2 linked regions of the Sus scrofa genome follow. The protein of the gene in region 1 interacts with the protein of each later gene in a biochemical or structural test. Links are inferred from orthologs where the notes say so. Each region holds a gene or a part of one and is shown in the gene's direction. Other genes may lie near its edges.

The links.
Region 2: the proteins of EHD1 (region 1) and SNAP29 form a complex in vitro, tested with the Homo sapiens proteins (2 studies listed by BioGRID). The link is inferred for Sus scrofa from reciprocal best matches to the Homo sapiens genes EHD1 and SNAP29.

What each region holds. Positions count from the first base shown.
Region 1 is NC_010444.4:7,316,247-7,319,449, forward strand, and holds part of EHD1 (EH domain-containing protein 1), read left to right. Parts: intron 1-2,670; coding exon 2,671-2,835; intron 2,836-3,203. UniProt on the Homo sapiens protein: ATP- and membrane-binding protein that controls membrane reorganization/tubulation upon ATP hydrolysis. In vitro causes vesiculation of endocytic membranes. Acts in early endocytic membrane fusion and membrane trafficking of recycling endosomes.
Region 2 is NC_010456.5:50,501,906-50,505,715, forward strand, and holds part of SNAP29 (synaptosomal-associated protein 29), read left to right. Parts: intron 1-291; coding exon 292-377; intron 378-1,834; coding exon 1,835-1,933; intron 1,934-3,810. UniProt on the Homo sapiens protein: SNAREs, soluble N-ethylmaleimide-sensitive factor-attachment protein receptors, are essential proteins for fusion of cellular membranes.

The sequences.
Region 1 (3,203 bases):
CATAAACCTCAAACAAGAAGGTACCGCTGTCCCAAGGGGCAGCCTGGAAAGTGGAGAGTGGGCGGGGGTGTCCCTCGAGGCCCTGTGAGCTCCCCGGGGTCTGCTGAGCACGGACGTGCCCTCAGCAAGCATAGGGCAGGGCGCTGGGCATGCGGTGGGGCAGGTCCCCCCCCCTCCTGGCCCTCCTCAGCTATCCGGGGGAAAGCAGAGCACAGAAAGAAAAAGAAAGCACAGCTGGGAATTCCTGTTGGGGCTCAGTGGGTTAAGAACCAGACTAGCATCCATAAGGACACAGGTTCAATCCCTGGCCTCACTTAGTGGGTTAAGGATCCGGTGTTGCTGTGAGCCGTGGTGTAGGTCACAGATGCCGCTCGGATCCTGCATTGCTATGGCTGTGGTGTAGGCTGGCAGCTGTAGCTCCGATTTGACCACTAGCCTGGGAACCTCCATATGCTGCGGGTGCGGCCCTAAAAAACAAAACAAAAAAAAAAAAAAAAGAGGAAGGAAAAGAAAAAGAAGAAAGCAGGACTTTATTTGCCTTATTTGTACTGTCTCCGGGTAGGCGTGGGTGGGATGCTGCAGAAGCCGGTGACTGGGGAGCTGTCCTGGGGGGTGGGTCGGACTGGGGGCCTGGGCGTGAGATGATGCTGAAGCCAGGACAGGAGGTAGTTGGTAGCAAGGTGGGACGCAAGCCTGCAGCACAGAGGACACTGGGTGACCTCCACCCCAGAGGCATTGTAAACCGTCCCTGCTCCTCCGTGGAGGCACAGGGCCTGCTGGCACCTGCTGACAGCATCAGAGTTGCTCAAGGGGTCGGAATCTCAGTGCCTGACCACGCTTTTTCAGTGGGACCCCGGGGAGGCTGGGAAAGGAAGATTAATGCCACGGGGGACCCATCTGACACCCGGACAGGACCTGTCCCCTGAGGACGTGTGGTTTTGAATAGTGCTGCATCCTAAACCTCTTGGGGCAGGCTCTGTCCCGGGAGAGCCGGGAGGAGCCCCATGGGCCACACTCCTGCCCCCAGGGAGCTAGCTGCCTGCCTGTGTGTAGCCCAGAGGTTGGGGACTCTGCCATAGTCCAAACAACGGTGGCCCAGGGCACCCCATGCCATCTTGAGGCCCAGGTCAAGTAGCTCTGGGTACTCCCTGGCCTGAGTAAAGAAAAGTGGCCCCAGAGTTCCCTTCGTGGCTTAGCAGTTAACGAACCTGCCTGGGATCCATAAGAATGCGGATCAAATCCCTGGCTTCAGTCAGTGGGTTAAGGATCCAGTGTTGCCGTGAGCTGTGGTGTAGGTCGAGGATGCGGTTCGGATCCGCGTTGCTGTGGCTGTGGTGTAGGCTGGCGGCTGTAGCTCCAGTTCAACCCCTGGCCTGGAAACCTCCATATGCCGCAGATTCAGCCCTAAAATAGCACCCCCCCCAAAAAAAAGAGAAGTGACCCGCATCCTTTATCCCAGTCTGTGTCCCCACCCCACTTCCCCAGAGTGCTCTTGGACCAGCAGATTGGAACTTGCTGGAAGAGTAGGTTCCCAGGCCCCCGCCCTACCAAACCAGACTCTGCATTCGGACACGGTCCCCTGGTGACCCGTATGCACGGTGAAGGTGCAGAATCCCACTCTGGAGGATGCAGGGCTGCACATTTCTCTAGATACCTCACTTCTGGAACTTTCCTGGTGAGTGGAGCTAGTTCTGAAAAAAGGAAGCCATGCGAAAATCCCCATCACCCGCTCCTGGCCGCGAAGGAGCTGAAACGGGAGGGGCGGTGAATGGAGGAGAGAGTGGGTCTCCCGGCCCGGCCTCTGCTCAGCTGCAGGGAAGGCAGCTCCCCGCCCACCCCGCCCAGCCCCTCTCCTGACAGGGCCTCCCGTGCTCTCGCTCAGCTTCCTTCCAGGACAGAATGAGGGGCAGACTTCGGGCCCCTGCTCCTTCCTCTCAGAGCTGGCGTGTCCGCGCCGGGCCCCCGGGCACACTGAGTCACGGTGCCTGGAAAGCCCCGTCCTCTCCAGTCCTGTCCTGCACCTGCTGTTTCGAGACTGTTTCCACTTCCTGGAGTGAGTCGCTCTCTCTGCTGGCCTGTGACGGGCAGAGCTATGCCTGTGTCTTTGGGACAGGATAGTGCTCGGCCAGGCTCCCAGCCCAGGCAGGTGGGGTCAGGCCGGTGGAGGGGCTTTGATGGGGCAGAGCGGCAGCTCTCCACGGCTGGACGGTGCTTGGCAAGGCGGAGGGCTTTGAGGGCCAGGCCTCGCAGGGTTGCCAGCGTTCCCGGTGCGCTGTGAGGACGGGAAGGCTGCGCCGCCCCGACTTGGCCAATGTCTGAGCAAGGTACTGAGTTTAGATAAAGCCGGAAACATCTGGGAGAAGCCTTGCGGGATTTTCCAGTCCTTAGTCACCCCTGAGCCTGTCAGGATGATAAAGCAGGGCGTCACACAGGCCGGGCTGGAGTCCCCAAACCATCCACAGGCCCGTAGAAGCAGCGCGGCGCGGCTCCGCTTGGCTTGCGGGGAGCGTGGCAGGTGCGCACGGAGAAACGGCAAGAACGTGGGCTCTGGGCTGCTGTTAGCAGTCCCGGGTTCTGGTCCCAGCTTTCTGGGGCAGCCCGGGTGCAGGCCACGCTCCCAGCAAGGTGTCCGGGAGGCGCCTGACGCACACCCCGTCCCTGTTGCCCCAGGTCCACGCCTACATCATCAGCTCCCTCAAGAAGGAGATGCCCAATGTCTTTGGCAAAGAGAGCAAGAAGAAAGAGCTGGTCAACAACCTGGGCGAGATCTACCAGAAGATCGAGCGCGAGCATCAGATCTCCCCCGGCGACTTCCCCAGCCTCCGCAAGATGCAGGTGGGCTGTCCCCCACACCCTGAGGCGGCCTCAGGTCACCGGGGCTGTGGTTCCCGAGGGAACCCGGCTCCATGGGGCGGGGCCTCCCCAAATGGAAACAGCCTGGTTAATCACCAGCGCCCCACCCGATGGGAGAAGCCGACCTCCCCCCGCCCCCCCCCGGGCCCGTGACACCTCGCAGGGGAATGTGGTGACTCACTCAGAGGGGGAGGGAGCGGGCTGGGCCGTGCCAGGCACCCCAGTCTCCTCCCAGTTAAGGAGGCTGCAAAGGGGGGGCTGTTCTTACCTCTCATTTATAGTGGGGGGCACCGAGGCCCCGGGAGGGGGCAGTTCACACCACTGCCTGAGATGCTAAGTGATCGGGGCCG
Region 2 (3,810 bases), on another chromosome or scaffold:
TATCACAGCCACAGCAACATGGGATCCAATCCATGCTTTCGACTTACACCACAGCTCACGGCAACGCTGGATCCTTAACCTACTGAGCGAGGCCAGGGATCAAATTTGCATCCTCATGGATACTAGTCAGATTCGTTTCTGCTGAGCCATGAAAGGAACTCCTTTTTTTTTTTTTTTTTTCTGGAGGAGGCATTTGATTTTCTCACACAGGCACCCCAGGAAAAGACTATGCTGGCAGAGGTGGTGTTCCCTTCTAAAAGATTTCTTTCTTTTCTTGACTCTTATCCAAAGATTGAAAGAAGCCATAAGTATAAGCAAAGACCAGGAGGCACGGTTCCAGGCCAGCCACCCAAACCTCAGGAGGCTGAATGACTCAGGTCAGTGGGCTTGCTTTCCTACCTAACACTTGGGTTGGGTGGAGGGAGCACCTGCTGGGTGAGGGAGGCGGAGAGGAGGAAGTGGGAGCCTGCACTGCAGCTCTGAGCTGAGTGTGAAAGGCTGCTTGCAGGGAAACCCCTGTGGTAAGTGGAGTCATAGCCCCTAAAACATCCATACCCCAGCCCCAGGCCCTGGGAACATCAGGTCATGTAGCAAAGGGGGTTGTGGGTACAAAGGGAGCACAGTTGCCCAACTTGAGGTGAAAAGATGATCCTGGGTTTTCCAGGTGGACCCAGTAAAACCGCAAGGCTGCCCTGCACGTGCGAAGGAGGCAGTAAAGAGGGAGATTGGAAGGTGAAGGCAGGGCCCCTGGCTGAGGCGTGGCCTCCAGGAGCCATAGGAGGTGGGGGCAGATTCTCCCTGAGAATCTCTAGCCAGAGGCCAGCCCAGTGAGCCCCAGGTTGCAGCTCTGGCCTCCAGAACTGAAGGTGGTCTATGGGGGTTTGCTGTGGTGGCCCTCAAGCCCGGGCAGATGGGAGTGCAGGGTAGAATCTGTTTTGTGTCAGGTCATCCTGTCAGTATCAAATGACAAGCCCAGAACCAGCCATTATCTGGAAAGGAGTGGAGGCATCCTGGGGGCTTCTTTGGACCCCTAGAGAGCCAGGCCCATCACAAATAGCCAGGTGCCCCCTGCCATGTGATTGACACAGCCGAGGGGAGGCCTGGTGGAGGAGGCATTGGAGAGAGACAGAGCTATCTGGAAAGGCCAAAGCCACAGAGGAAGTGAGAGAACTAAAGTGCATAACACAGCCAGCTCGTTGTGCCCAAGGGAGTGGAGTAGAGCCCTGCACCGAAAGACAATTTTAAGGAACTAAAAGGAGTTTCATTTGTAGGGTGTGTATTAGCTTAAGAGAATTGGTGAAGCAAAAAAACAAAACAAAACAAAACAAAACAAAAAAAACAGGCTTGTGTAAATCGTGCTGGGGGGGAAATACAGCAAATCTAGAAAGAGATATTCCCCAGAAGATGTGAACTGGCCTGACAGGGCTTTCTTGTGTGAACTCAGGAGCTGAAGGTCAGGAGGATTCTTGGGGCAAATGTGCATCATCTGACATTCCTCTTTCCTGAGCCGTGAGGTTTTGCCTGATGCAACACCACTGCTATGTCATTACATGTGTCAATCTGTCTCTTTTCCTGTGCACCAGGGGCTGACCAGGCCCTCCAGAGGTTGGAGGTCTTTGATCTCCGAAGGGTAGGCCCCCAGGAAGCATCTCTCCCTTCCCCACAAGCCTGCCAGGGCTCCTTCCCCTCCCCCAACCCACTCCCACAGCCATCGCTCTGGCCTTAGAACTGACCATTATAGTCCTTCCACCTGTTTCCCAGACTAAGATTTTGTAAAGCAGCATTTCAAGGGATGTCAGTTAACCCATCTCCTGGTGTCTTCTTGTGAATCCAGACTGCATCCCTGGAGGGGCTGGATCTGCTGTGAGCTCTGAGGCGTATCCAAAGAACCCTCACCTCCAAGCCTATCATCAGAAAATCGACAGCAATCTGGGTAAGACGGGGCACCACCACGTTCAAGGTTCACCTGCCCGGGGCAGCGTGTGCCCAGCCCACTGGCGTCTGCCTCTGTCTCCCCTCTCAGCAAATCCAAGAGTCATGACCACTCCCCCCTGATCTCTGGAGCCTGTCCACTTGTCTTTGTCTCCACCTCTCCTCTGTCTGCTTGTCTCCGTCTCTACCTCTCTTCTGTCCACTTGTTTCCATCCCCACCTCTCATCTGCCTGCTTGCTTCAGTTCCCTGGACTCTGCCCTAGAGCCCAGGTGGAAGGGATGTCTGCGGATCTGGCCACTCCAACATGGGACGCTAGCGAGTCCACCAACCCCTAAACAAAATTTCCCCACCAGGAAAGGGTGTCATTGATGCCTGATGGGGAAATATCAGGGAGTGGAATTCAGGAATTGGGGGAGGGAGGCAGGAAGAAGGCTAAGTAGAGCCCACTGGGGGTGTGCAGGGAGTCCTCAAACCTGCAGCACTGGCCAGCACACAGTGGCCCAAAGGAGGGCTGTGTGGACCTCAGGGACCCCGGGACAGCTGTCCACAGTCTCTGCTAGCGAGGCCATACCACTACCCTGGGCACAATTCCTCTCCCTCCTGGCACACCCATCTTTGTCAGGGACCCTTGCCACATGGCCCTGCTTGTCAGGCTTTTCACCCCGGCACAGCCTCTTGCCTGTCCCAGCTGCTGGATCCTGGGGTAACCCATGGAGCTCAAGGCACAGGCTTCAGTCAAGCATAGAACTAAAGGCAGAGGCTTTAGGAAGCATAGAACTGAAGACTACCTTTTTTGAAAAAAACCTGATTCTAGAGTTTCTGTTGTGGCTCAGTGGTAACAAACCCAGCTAGTATCCATGAGGATGGCGGTTCGATCCTTGGCCTCACTTAATGGGTTAAGGATCCGGTGTTGCCGTGAGCTGCTGTGTAGTCTGCAGATTCTGCTTGGATCCAGCATTGCTGTGACTGTGGCATAGGCCAACAGCTGTAGCTCCAATTCAGCCCCTAGCCTGGGAACCTCCATGTATCACAGTTGTGGCCCTAAAAAAAATTTTTTTTGTCCTTTTAGGGCCACACATATGGCAGTCCCCAAGCTAGGGGTCCAATCGGAGGTACAGCTTCCAGCCTACACCACAGCTCAGGGCAATGCCGGATCCTTAACCCACTGAGCAAGGCCAGGGATCAAACCGCCATCCTCATGGATACTAGTTGGGTTTGTTAGCTGCTGAGCCACAATGGGAACGCCTAAAAATTTTTTTTAATTAATTTAAAAACCTGATTCTGCTTAGATTCGTAAAGCCACTGCTAGGGATTCATATATTTTGACCCTTTAAAAAAAAAAAAAAAACACACACACACACAATGTGCATAAATTCCTGGCCAGGGATTGAACCCAAACCACAGCAGTGACAATACCAGATCCTTAACCCACTGAGCCACCAGGGAACCCCATGCTTAGCTGTCTTTATGTTACTGTGCTGTGGAAGCCCTTCAAATACTCCTGAGGCTGACCACGTCCTTATAGGCATTGTTCCTTATGGACATTTTGTTGAACTTGAACTTAAGCAGTTGTCACCTGACTGTTGAACTTAAGCAGTTGAACTTAAGCAGTTGTCAGAAGAACCTTTGGGAGTTCCTATCGTGGCTCAGCAGTTAATGAACCCAATTAGCATCCATAAGGACTTGGGTTCGATCCCTGGCCTCACTCAGTGGGTTAATGATCTGGGGTTGTCGTGAGCTGTGGTGTAGGTTGCAGATGCGGCTCAGATCCCGAGTTGCTATGGCTGTGACTGTGGCTGGCGGCTACAGCTCCAATTGGACCCCTGGCTGGGGAACCTCTATAATGCCATGGATGCAGCCCTAAAAAGACAAAAAGA